3 linked regions of the Macaca mulatta genome follow. The protein of the gene in region 3 interacts with the protein of the main gene of each other region in a biochemical or structural test. Links are inferred from orthologs where the notes say so. Each region holds a gene or a part of one and is shown on either strand. Other genes may lie near its edges.

Region 1 (4,231 bases), on a different chromosome or scaffold from region 3:
TTGTCATGCAAACCAACATCTCTCCATTCTACAGATGAGGAAACTGAGGCTCAGAGAGATAGGATTTGCCCAAGATCACCCGAAGAACCAAGACTGGGGGTCCATTTCCAAGTCAGTGCTTCTAACTTCTCTCACACCTGTGGTCTCTGATAAGCAAATATATACACTCAGAGACCACAGACATAGGATGTAAAAGTTTAATGAAAGAAAACCAGAGATCAATGTCTCAGCAAAGTACCATAGACCAAGCAGAAATCATCTCTATGACCCACATCACAAATGACCCAAACTATTCACATGGAGTAGGGGAAAGTGGCCCACTGTCACTGGATGGCTAAGAGTGAAGGCATCCAACCAACGTGTTTGGCAGAAGCGCACACACACCACTGTTAACAGTGGCGACCTCTGAGGAAAGAGGAGGGCTTGGGGGGATAAAAATTTATGTTTGAATCTTTAACAATATTTTTTGTTTGTTTTAAAACTCATGAAAAAGAAAAAAAATTACAATGCTGAATACCTTAGCAGCCTTCTCCAGTAGGTATAGCCTGTTGTCTGCTTTTAGATGAAATTTATAGCAGGTTCTGAGACCTTCAGCTGGGCTTCCAGAATCTGCTGCTCTGACCCATCCCAGTGGCCACGCTCTAGTTCAGACCTGCATTCTACTTCACTTGAATCATGCAACAGCCTCCTCAGGGCCTTTCTGCCTCCAGATCAGCCTGGTCCAATGCATCCCCCATATCGGCCATTCAGAATAATGAGTTTTTAAAAACCACTGCTCTGTCAAAACCCTTTCTCAGTTCTTCATTGCCTTCAGGATGAAGTCCAAACCTTTAGCTTATAATCTAGTTCCATTTTCATTTAGAGTCTCAACTCCCACCACCCCGCCCTTCTCCCATCCTCCACTCTAGCCACTTGGATGGCTCAGAAAACCTCAGTGCCTTTGCACAAGTGGTTCCTGCTTCTCAGAATGTCTTTTCCTCCAACTCCTGTTTCTCCTGGTAAATGATTACTCATTCTGAGGTCTGGGTCACCCAGACAAAATTAGTCACTCCGCCTGCAGGCTGAAGTCACTCTTAATATGGCACGAAAGTGTCAACCACTATAGATGACAAGCATCTTGAGGACAGAGAGCTCTGTCCTCTTCCGAGGCTATTGGGCCCCTCGCAGGGCAAAGCACAGAACACAGGTCCAGAGAAGGGCTGAAAGGAGGGAGGAGGGGTGGAAGGAAATGCCATGCAGGGCAAACTCTGCAGCCACCCCTCCTGGGAGCAGCCTGTTTCCAGGCTCATGTTAGTCCCTAATAAAAGGACTATAGAAAATTCTGGAGTAAACTTCCCTTCCCTGATTCACACAGAAACCTTCTTTGCTGCTGTGTAACTCACCGAATGCCAACCCAAGCTCCCCTGGCTGTTTACAATTTCCCTGGCATTTCTAAATAGCAAGGCCCCGGAAAGAAAAATGGAGTTTCAAAGGAGCTGAAAGCCGACCGTTCCCATCCCCATCCTTACTCCTCTGTTTCCAAGCCTCTCTCCCTTAACAGCCCCAGGAAACACCAACCAGCATCCCCAAGCGGGGGGGGGGGGGGGGGGGGGGGGGAGCGGTGGGGAATGCTTGTCCCTTTAGTGAACGGAACACCCAAGAAGGAGGCTAAAGTCCCTCCCAGCAAGGAATCCACAAAGAGCAGACTGGAATTGGGTCCCAGCCCTAACCTGCCTCACTGTGTGTCAACTAGCCCATCATAAACTCTCTGGGTCCTTGACTTTTAACTGTGAAATGGGGATGGGGTAAGATTCTAGCAAGCTATGGTCGCTGTAAAGGGCAGAGCGGTGAGAGTTCCTGGTGCCCTGGTCAGAAATGTGGTCCTGGGAGAACACGACACACAGGATTAAGTCTTTGAAAAGTCCCCAAAGGCCAAACAAAAGCGAGAGGCACCTCCCCAGAAGCCCCGCCTTCCACAAAGTCCAATTACCCTCAAGACAGCCTAGAATGAGTTCTGGGTGTTTTAAAAGCCCCTTCCATGCTCTGAGGAGGGTGTGAGGACAGGATAAAGCGGCAGATGTCTGGGCAGAGAAGGAGCTAGGAAGAAAGCCAATGTCACCTGCTCGCCCACACCCCCAGCCCCCAGTCTTCCGAGGACTGGCTCTTCTCCCCGGGCACTGCGCAGACCAGCCAACCTGCACTGGACCAGAGGGAAGTTGCTGTTATTTAGGTTTTGGGGGGCTGGATCCCAGAAGACATGGGGGATCAGGGAGAAGGGGTTCCAATCACTGTCTTCAACTCCGAAAGAAGCTTCCGTGTGAGTCAGGGAAGGGAACACTGCAGGGCCGGGGAGGAGCCAGCAGCTACAGGTAGCAGGCGCCCGAAGATTTCAGACAGTACAAGGAAGAACTTTCTAACAGTCCTCAGAAAGAGGAAGAAGCCGAAGAGGAAAGCAAGCACAGGTATCGTCCAGGAGGCAAGGGTCCTCTGAGTGGACTCCCCAGCGGGGTCACCGCCCAGACCGTAGCTGGTGGCCCCCTGCATGCCCGGCTCAGACACCCCAAGCGCGGGAGTGACCCCGGGACAGTTCCCCCATCGCGGGGGCGGGGTCGAGGTTATTAGCTCAGGTGCTAGCAGCACAGTGGAATCACGGGGTGGAGGCCTGGCCCCTCTCCTCTCCTGCTCCAGCGTCTCCCCATCCCCCTGCTCCCATCCACACTCTTTGGTCCCCTGGAAGACGGGAAAACTGAGCGCGGAAGCCCTTTTCCAGCGACCCCCGCGGCCGGGCCGAGCTCCAGGCGCGCGCGAGACAGGACCGGGAAGGAAGGGAGAGGAAGGGCTCAAATCAGCCCGGGACCCCCAGATGTCCGGGGCCGGGGCTGCGCGCCTCCCCTACCTGCTGCTGCGGCGCTGGAGACGGCGGCTGCTGGGTCCAGCTGTGCTCAGCTGGTTCCGGGCGGCGGGGCTGGGGCGTTGCGGTGCGCGCGGCCGGGGTGGGCAGGGCGCGGGCGGGAGCCGCCCTCGGGGCGGGGCGGCCCGGCAGGCGGGTGGGGGAGGAGCGCCAGGCCCTCCCGTCGGCTGCAGGGCGGGTGGCTCCAAGCTTGCCTTCATCCAGGGCGACCCCTCGCTTCACCTCGCAGGAAGGCACCAAGCCCTCTGCTTTCCCCTGGAGGAAACTGAGGCCTGGAGCACGGAGGGGAGATCTGAAGAGGCCTAGCGTCGGGGAGGAGACCCAGGGCAGCTCCTGAGCTGGCCTGGGGCCAAGAGCTCAGATGGGGCGGGCAGGCGAGCAATGCTCAACTAGCACCAGCGGAGGCCGATTTCAGCCCCGGAGAGGACGGACTTCAGGAGGCAAAGTGAGACTTCGGAGAGTGACATAGGCTGCACACAAAGCAAGGGAGATTCCTTCCCACGGAAGGGAATAAAGAGGAAGAGCGATTCCCAGCTCATTCCGAATGAAGTAACGAAAATGCCAAGTGCATCCCTGGTCCTTAAAGTGGACCATTAAGCAGGCGCCGTGGAGTCAGAAGGGCCTGGTTTGGAACCCCAGACATCAACTAGTCCTGTAACTTTGGGCAAGCGAGCTCACATACCTAAGTCTCCGTTTCCTCGTTTGTCAAATGGGCATCCTGGATTGCCTCTTCATGGGGCGGTTGAGAAGACTCAGTGAGAAAAAGACCCTCAGCACAATGACAAGGCACTGTGGCTTCTGCATAAACGGATGTTCTTATTTGTGTCATAGCAGATATTGTTTGAGGAGATTGAGGAAATCCACATTGGGCAGAAAGATGAGTTCAAGGTCACTTTTAAACAAATGTAAAACTTTGTTGATCTCAACAGCATCTCATATGCATTTGAGACGATAGCCGTTTATAATGTGGCAAGGCATAGGAGGGCCTCCCAACAGTCCTGGTGCACACGTGGGTTCCCAGGGCTCTTGGAGTTGCCGCGTGACTCCAATTTGGAAGGATTCACACACTCAACAGGAGACTGCACCACATGACAGAGATGTCCATTCCCAGCCTGGGTGCTGGCAGCAGCCTCATGTTCAGCCAGGGTAAAGCTCCATCTTAACACAAGATGAAATGTACTACAGTCTGTAATTGCCAGGTGCTGGGGATCAGAGCAGAAAAGGCTGTTGTTTAGCACAGAAGCCAAGAGCACAGCGCTCACTCCCTGGTTTTTCCATTGAATAGCAGCCAGGGAAGCCACAGGACCCAGGGAGTCTCGCCCTGGCTCTTCCTCCTGCCAC
Region 2 (3,645 bases), on a different chromosome or scaffold from region 3:
ATTTGTCTTGAAATGTTGTCCCATCTGGCCATTAAACCAAAATTCCAAATATTGTATCAGTATGAGTATTATATACATTAAGCATTGGCAAATGTTTTCTACGAAAGGCAGGATAATAAATATTTTAGGGTTTGCAGGCCATATATGGTCTTTGTTGCAACTGCTCAACTCTGTACAGAAGCAGTTGTAAGCTTTGCAGAAACAACGAGGATGACTGTGTCCCAGTGGAAGTTAATGTATGAACACTGAAATTTGAACTTTGTATAATTTTCATGGGTCGTGAGATACTGATGTTCTCTTGCTTTTTTCCCAACAATGTAAAAATGTAAAACCATTCTTCTATTCTTAGTTTGTAGGCCATATAAAAGTAGGCAGTGAGCAAGTTTTGGCTCATGAACTATAATTTTCCAACCCTTGATCTATGTGCTTGATAAAGAAAATCTAGCAAATATACCTTAGTATTAAAACAGGTAGTTGAGTCTTCAACATCACAGCATTCACCAAGGCTTTTTAGGGTTGGCTCAAGTACTTTAACGAGGAATACTTCTGGAAGATGAGTTCTTCTGCTTAGTTCAAATGTATACCTAGCATGCGAGAGAAAAGGAGATATGTGTTATATATTTACTTTTTTTTTTTTTTGTGACAGAGTCTCCCTCTGTCACCCAGTTTGGAGTGAAGTGGCACCATCTTGGCTCACTGCAACCTCTGCCTCCCGGGTTCAAGCGATTCTCATGCCTCAGCCTCCCAAGTAGCTGGGATTATAGGTGCCTGCCACCATGCTCGACTAATTTTTGTATTTTCAGTGGAGATAGGGTTTCACCAGGTTTGGCCAGGGTGGTCTGGAAATTTTGACCTCAAGTGATCTGCCTGAGTCAGCCTCCCAAAGTGCTGGGATTGTGGGGATGAGCCACCGTGCCCGGCCTACATTTTGAAATGTGAAATATCTGTCATAAAGGCAGAGCACTTGGTTTCTGCATCTTAATTAAAAAGAAGAGATTTAGCTCAGACTGACTCTAAATCAACAGGCTTTGGATTATAAAATACTTTCATTGAGATACAAGCTACTAATACTTGCTATCGTGACTAGTCAATATTGAACTAAAGCTTTGCTTATAATATACATTTAAATATATTATATGTAAACATATTTACTTCAAATGCATATGGAACTGTCTTTGTGCAAGCATAATACAATTGACCCCATATAAAACATCAAGTGGGTACTTCAAAAGGCTTTTCTGTGAAAATAGGTTTGTGTAAATTATTTCATTATGTCTTATCCCACTGCTGTCTATGCACTTATATAAACAATAAACGTTTAGAAAAATGTAAATTAAAGTTTCAGTCCTATATAACTTCTGCCATCTGATATTGCTAATTGATATTTCAACCTGTGGCTTCAAACTATTTGTGAAATATTTTTATGCCATGATGATGCATACACATCTATTCAAACCATGGTATATTTATCTTACTTCTTTTTTTAGCTGGATGAAACAAGACAAAAGTTTACCATTTCTTTGCATTAAATCTCTTTTTAAATTTAATGAAAATGAATATCGATAATGCTAAGAAAAAAATATTCTATGCTTGCTATCTCTTTTATTTGTATCAAATGCTTATTGTCCAAAAGTTTAGTATACTTTAGGCTTTTGATTTGTGATTTTGAGCCAGAATTAATATGATAAAACTAGTTAATAATATTAAAAATATTTCTGGTTACGTGATATATTTTACATGTGTTCAGCATTGTATACAAATATGTGTTTTCACATTTACTTTCACTGACATTTCTACATGCATTTCTTATTAGCAATCTGTATGCTAAATAAGGCAAGTATTAACATTTTCAAATTAATTAACAATAGACTGAAGTTCAGAATTGTCAAGTCACTTCTTTTGGCAGTGCACAAGAATCAGAGAAGGCAGAATTAGGAACTCTAAGCTCCTTTCTCCCTACCCAAAATCTTTCTATCACACTCAATTGATTATGGTGTTTTACAAATTTTAGTCATTTACAATCAATTAACAAATACTTAAAGTCCATGAAAAGCATAAAAGTAGTACTTTGCTTGTGTTTGAAATGAGTGATAGCATACCTTCCCTCTGTCTGGCTGGCCTCCACTTTTTGTCCAGATGAACTTAAAATGGGAACACGTTTTCACATCACCTCTACTTACTTATCCATGACTTTGGTGTTTCCTTGATCACACACATCTTTGTTTGTGGGCAGCTCCACCTCTGGAAGCTCGGGGGGTTGTGCAGCTGGCATGAAGTAAGTGCACACAAAAATGTCCATGGCTGTTTTTTCTTGACAACACTCTTCAAACTTAGAATTCTTTTTGGATAAATTGTCACAGAGTTTTACTGTGTGTTCAGGCAGCTACAGAACGAACGGTTAATTTGTGCATTGTTAGTCTCCTGATAGTCTAATTAAAAATAAGAATTACATAGGCTTACAAGCTTTGGCATCACATTTATGAAAGTCGGTATGAATACTCTCAGAAAGAAAATTGGTACAATATTTGGAAAGGCAATTTGTCAATATGTACTAAAAGTCTTAAAAATGTACAATTCTATTTTTAAGAATTTATACTTAGAAAATAATTATGGATAAAAGGACAACTATAAGGCTATTAAGTGCAACATTGCATTTTATTAAAATGTTTAAAAAAATCAACACAACCTAAATACAATAGAGGATTAGTAAAATAAAAATATGGTGTGTCTGGGTAGATAGATGTAATACACGACATGGACATAGGCAACAGAATCCTATTTAGCCATTATAAATCCTTATAGAAAAACATCTATTAACACAGACATGCATTTTTAATGGAAAAAGACAAGGTGACACAATGTATCTATTACTACAGAGATTGACAAGACCTTGGAGACTGACCTTCAGCTAAAGCAATTATTCAAATTTAAATCATTTTAAAGGATTATGAAAATGAAAAATGGCAAAAAAAATTTGAGATGGGCATCAAATTATAAAAAGTATAATAAAAACAGTAGTAGCTCCTACCATTGTCCATTTGAAATGCAGTTAGTATAACTGAAGAATTGAATTTTAAATCATATTCAACTTAAATATATATGTTTAACTTTAATTATAATTAAATTTAAATGACCATATGTGGTAATGAATACCATACAGTGCAAGTAGCATAAGGTCTTGAGAATCAGATAATCTTATCTTTGCATATGGTCTTTGCCACTTACTAGTAGTGTGATCTCAAATTATTGACCCTTGCTAATCTTCTGTTTTTTCACCTGTACAGTGATGTTAAGAATTATTTATATTTCACAGGATACATGTGAGCATCTGTTAGGATAATGCATATGAAATAGAGCTTAGAAGAGTACCTGGCACTCAGTACTTGGCACTCAATACCTGGCACATGGTGATAATGATAATAAAGATTGTCTTACCTCTTTGGCCATACAATCTTCAGAGGCAGACTCACAGCATTTGGAGAGGATGTTAGTAACATCTTCAGCTAGTGGCAAAACATGCTCCAGATCAGCAGTAGGCACTTTTTGGGCTAACTTTATGAGATTGCTAAACAGTTAAAAGTAAATTTGTTAGCTTATCAACATTCTCAGTTTCCTTGGTTTCATGATGAACACACTCTTTGGAGA
Region 3 (4,296 bases):
GGCGCCGGGGGCCGGCGGGGCCTGGGGTAGGGGGCGCGGGCGCGCGGGGCTCACCGATGAAGGAGGGCTGGAAGAGCGTCTCCGGGCAGCGGAAGCGCTCGTTGCCGATGGTGATGACCTGCCCGTCTGGCAGCTCGTAGCTCTTTTCCAGAGAGGAGGAGGAAGCGGCCGTGGCCATCTCGTTCTCGAAGTCCAGGGCCACGTAGCACAGCTTTTCCTTGATGTCGCGCACGATCTCGCGCTCAGCTGCGTAGGGTAGAAGCAGGAGAGGAGCCCTCACTCAGGGCCCGCCGCCGGCCCTCCCTCCCGGGGTGTCGGGGCTCCGCGCACCTGTGGTCACGAAGGAGTAGCCGCGCTCAGTGAGGATCTTCATCAGGTAGTCGGTGAGATCGCGGCCCGCCAGGTCCAAGCGCATGATGGCGTGCGGCAGCGCGTAGCCCTCATAGATGGGCACGTTGTGGGTGACGCCGTCGCCGGAGTCCAGCACGATGCCTGTGCGCGCGGGAGAGAGTAAGTCGCTGGGGGCGAGGCCAAGGCTGGGCGCTCAGCGCTAGGGGCGGGGGCGGGGGCGGGGGCGGGGGCGGGAGAGGGGCCTGGGCGCAGCGGGCACTCACCGGTGGTCCTGCCGGAGGCGTAGAGGGACAGCACTGCCTGAATAGCCACGTACATGGCGGGCACGTTGAAGGTCTCAAACATGATCTGGGTCATCTTCTCGCGGTTGGCCTTGGGATTGAGGGGGGCCTCGGTGAGCAGGGTGGGGTGCTCCTCGGGAGCCACGCGGAGCTCGTTGTAGAAGGTGTGGTGCCAGATCTTCTCCATGTCGTCCCAGTTGGTGATGATGCCATGCTCGATAGGGTACTTCAGGGTCAGGATACCTCTCTTGCTCTGAGCCTCGTCGCCCACGTAGGAATCTTTCTGACCCATACCGACCATGACGCCCTGCGGATCCGAGACACCACGCACCCATTAACGCCGCTCCGGGTGGCACCAGACTGGGTTACGCGGGGACCCCGACCCGGCTCCTTCCGCAGAGCGGCAGCCTGACCTGGTGTCGGGGGCGGCCCACGATGGACGGGAACACGGCCCTAGGGGCGTCATCCCCGGCGAAGCCGGCTTTCACCAGGCCGGAGCCATTGTCGCACACGAGGGCGGTGGTCTCGTCTTCGTCGCACATTGTGTCTAGTTTCTGCAAGGACAGGGAGACCGCGAAGAGGCGCGGTGCATCAGCGCAGACGTCTCAGCGGCAGCGGGGGAGGCCTGGCCGGCTCAGACGTCCTCCCTCCCCAGGAACCTAGGGATATCCCCTGCCAGAACCACTCAAATTCTGCCAGGGCGGCGACCAGGGGTTCTCTTCCTGAGCTTTGCCCCTGGCTAAGGGCTGCCCTGCACCAGGAAAAGGGGCACAGGGTCGTGAGACCACACTGAGAAGTCCTCTGTCCACACAGCCAGGGGAACATGTCCCCCAAGACCTGTCTGCCCTCCCTGCCTGACACCTGCTCCAGGAGCTGGACGCTAGTGCCCATGCTCTCTGCACCTCCCTGACCACATCTGTCACCTAGGAAGATAAGGCCTGGGCACTGCCTGCTCGCTGGGCCAGCGTGAGGGTGGAAGGAGATGCCCATGGGAAAGGCGTTGGCACCCCATCCAGAGAAGAGTGACCTGTTAGGAACCCTATGACATTTCAAACTCAGAAAGGGCCTTTTTCCTGTTGGAAACGGAGCATGGGTGGTCCTGGCTGCTCGCTCATTAGCTCTAGCGCTAGTTCGGAAGGGAACTGCCTTGGCGACAACTAAAGCAAAACCGTTTATCTCCCTAGGCACATCCTACATGCCGCATAAAGCAGCCCAGAGGGGCTAGAGAAAAATCTGGAGACGTCTAATTTCCAGAGTCTGTCTTGTCTCCTTTTTAAAGCGCATGTAGCTCCGGAGACGAGGCACAGCGCTCGGGGCGCAGGCTTGGGGCTGACCAGGTGAACCGACTGGGTTCTGCCCCGGAGTCCTTCAGGTTCCCCTCGGTATTCCCCTGTCCCCCTGTCCCCTCCCAACTCCCGCCCTACCTGGGCGGGTAGCTACAACTGCTACTCTCGGCTCGGGCCCTGGTCGCCGCGGGAGGGAAGCGAGGCTTCACTTGGCGCTGTCCGCTGCGGTGGCCGCTTGTCCCTCTGCTCAGGTTTTATATAGCCCGCGGGCACTCCCTCCGCGCCACCCCGCAGGAATGTCGCTGCCCTTCTCCTGCCATATTTGGGTGTTGGGCACTAGAGCCCCCTCCCTCGGCCGGTTCGCGGCCTGGGCCCCCGCCCGGGTCCCCTGCGTTGACCAAAGAAGGAGAGGGTTGGCCCGGTCCCAGGTAACGCGGGCCGGGCCGTATATGGAGTGTCTCCCTAGCGGGTTTGCCCCTCCTGACCCGACCCAGTTGCCCGCTGGAGGGGATGGGGTGGGGCGAGGGTCACCGCGTGCGCCGGTGGGTGCATGTGTGCGCCTGCGCTCCGGGAACCACACCTGTTCCAAAGGCCTCCCCACCCATGCCCACTCTGAGCGCCCTGGGAGCTCGGGAAGGTGCCTGACTGCTAACTTCCAGTATTTCAACTCCTCTTCAGGTTCTTTGCTCAGATTCCCAAACTCCCACTTGCGACTACCGGGAGGAGGGAGACGTGTGGAGTGGTGGGCTTGGGCGGATTGGAGAAGCCGTCACTCCTGAGCCTCAGGCAGGGAAGGAAGGCGAACTCCCTCCCCCTTACGCCCCTGGAACTCCATTTCTCTCTTCCCACCCCTGAGCTCCCTGAATCCAAAAAGCTGAGCCACGTCGACCCCTTCCCCCACCGCGCAGAGGGCCACTGGCGGCCGGAGGGCGCGCAGCTGTCGCAGGACAGACAACTGGCGGGGGGGTAGGCGAGGGCGGAGCGCCGGGGAAGAGGCGCGGGGGCTCCCGGGGATAGGCCCGTCAGACGCAAAGCCTGGGCACACGGAGCTGTCCGCCTCAGGGACGCGCAGAGTACTTGGGTCTCCTAAAGGGATTGAAGGGGTGAGGGTTCCCCTCCTCTAGGACGCACTGGCCCCAGGTTTTGGTGGGCTGAGGCCCTCCCCCAACCTCTTCGGTGGCACTATGTGTGTCCCTCTCCTGGGGCTGAAAGACGAGGGTCATAACCCGGGACTGGCTAGACCTGGAATGGAGGTGGAGATGGGTGAGGGGCTCTTCCTAGATGAGGCTTTGCTGGTCCTTCCTGCCAATAAAGGGCGGGGGGAGAGGGGGGCAAGTACGCAGCACTCTAGGATGGGTGGCAGTTTTTCCTTCTGCAAAGGCTGAACAAACTCATCTTTATATTTAGAGGATGATGCCTGCCAAGGCCGGGCTGCCTCCCAGTCCACCTTAGAGTCATCACCTACCAGAGCCTGCTGCAGGTTCTATTTATATCACTGATATATGGGGCTATGCCTTTCAGATTTTCTAGAAGGATTTGGAGCTACTTATGGTAAAGTACAGTGGGGGTCAGCAGAGGTTACCCAGCTGGTGCCTGTCTCTCTCTCTCTCTCTCTCTCTCTTTTCCCCAAGACAAGGACAGTTCTAACCTTGTGGAGGGCACAGGAGGAGCAGTCTTTTGTGATGAACTCAGTGACATGCTTTAAGGGGGTACATCAGTGATACGGTGTGGGCCAGAACAGAATCACTCATTTTTCTGGTGTGCTTAAGTGCTCCTAAAATAGTTGCAATTCACATTTGGAAGTGGAAATCAGCAACTGGGACAGGTGCGGATTCTCTAAAAGGGGGATAGAAGCATATGTGACCCTCCTCTGTAGCCCACATCATGGCAGCTCATCCTAAAAATAAAGAAGTATTAACAAAAATGTTTTAGTGAATAAAATACTACCCTCCTAAAAACAATCAATTAAAAAATAAGGAGTTTGGCTAGTATAGGGACTACGTGGTGAGTATAAAGGCTCCTATGGTATCATATTTAGTTCTTCCAAGTATTTTGGAGAATAAGTGAATAACTGACAGAACTGTATTTCATTTTTAATATCCTGTGTCCTCCTGTGTCAGCGAGTAGTGGAGGTACTTGAAAAAAACCACCTGGCAAATGAGTTGCATGTAACATAAGGGGACTAGCTTACATTTAGGCCTTGAAAGTAGGAAATTTGCTGCCGTTCACTGGATACCTCAATATCTGTTCGCATTCCAAAGGAGAATGGGACTGTCACTATTTTTCAAAACTCTTGCTCAGTCCAACTCTTACCTTTCCTTACAGAAAGCTTTTCTAAGCTCAGTCTGTTACATTCAAACCCACACTAAATGCTGACC

What was found.
Region 1: the proteins of ACTA1 (region 3) and GSN are reported together in a solved structure, tested with the Homo sapiens proteins (3 studies listed by BioGRID and IntAct). The link is inferred for Macaca mulatta from reciprocal best matches to the Homo sapiens genes ACTA1 and GSN.
Region 2: the proteins of ACTA1 (region 3) and GC are reported together in a solved structure, tested with the Homo sapiens proteins (2 studies listed by BioGRID and IntAct). The link is inferred for Macaca mulatta from reciprocal best matches to the Homo sapiens genes ACTA1 and GC.

Annotation. Positions count from the first base shown.
Region 1 is NC_133420.1:36,931,955-36,936,185, forward strand, and holds the start of GSN (gelsolin), read right to left. Parts: upstream 2,934-4,231; 5' UTR 2,876-2,933; intron 1,164-2,875; exon of another isoform or gene 1,032-1,163; intron 1-1,031. UniProt on the Homo sapiens protein: Calcium-regulated, actin-modulating protein that binds to the plus (or barbed) ends of actin monomers or filaments, preventing monomer exchange (end-blocking or capping).
Region 2 is NC_133410.1:62,076,963-62,080,607, reverse strand, and holds part of GC (vitamin D-binding protein), read right to left. Parts: intron 3,566-3,645; coding exon 3,436-3,565; intron 2,384-3,435; coding exon 2,181-2,383; intron 585-2,180; coding exon 455-584; intron 1-454. UniProt on the Homo sapiens protein: Involved in vitamin D transport and storage, scavenging of extracellular G-actin, enhancement of the chemotactic activity of C5 alpha for neutrophils in inflammation and macrophage activation.
Region 3 is NC_133406.1:19,612,985-19,617,280, reverse strand, and holds the start of ACTA1 (actin, alpha skeletal muscle), read right to left. Parts: upstream 2,833-4,296; 5' UTR 2,057-2,832; intron 1,187-2,056; 5' UTR 1,175-1,186; coding exon 1,046-1,174; intron 940-1,045; coding exon 615-939; intron 493-614; coding exon 331-492; intron 247-330; coding exon 55-246; intron 1-54. UniProt on the Homo sapiens protein: Actins are highly conserved proteins that are involved in various types of cell motility and are ubiquitously expressed in all eukaryotic cells.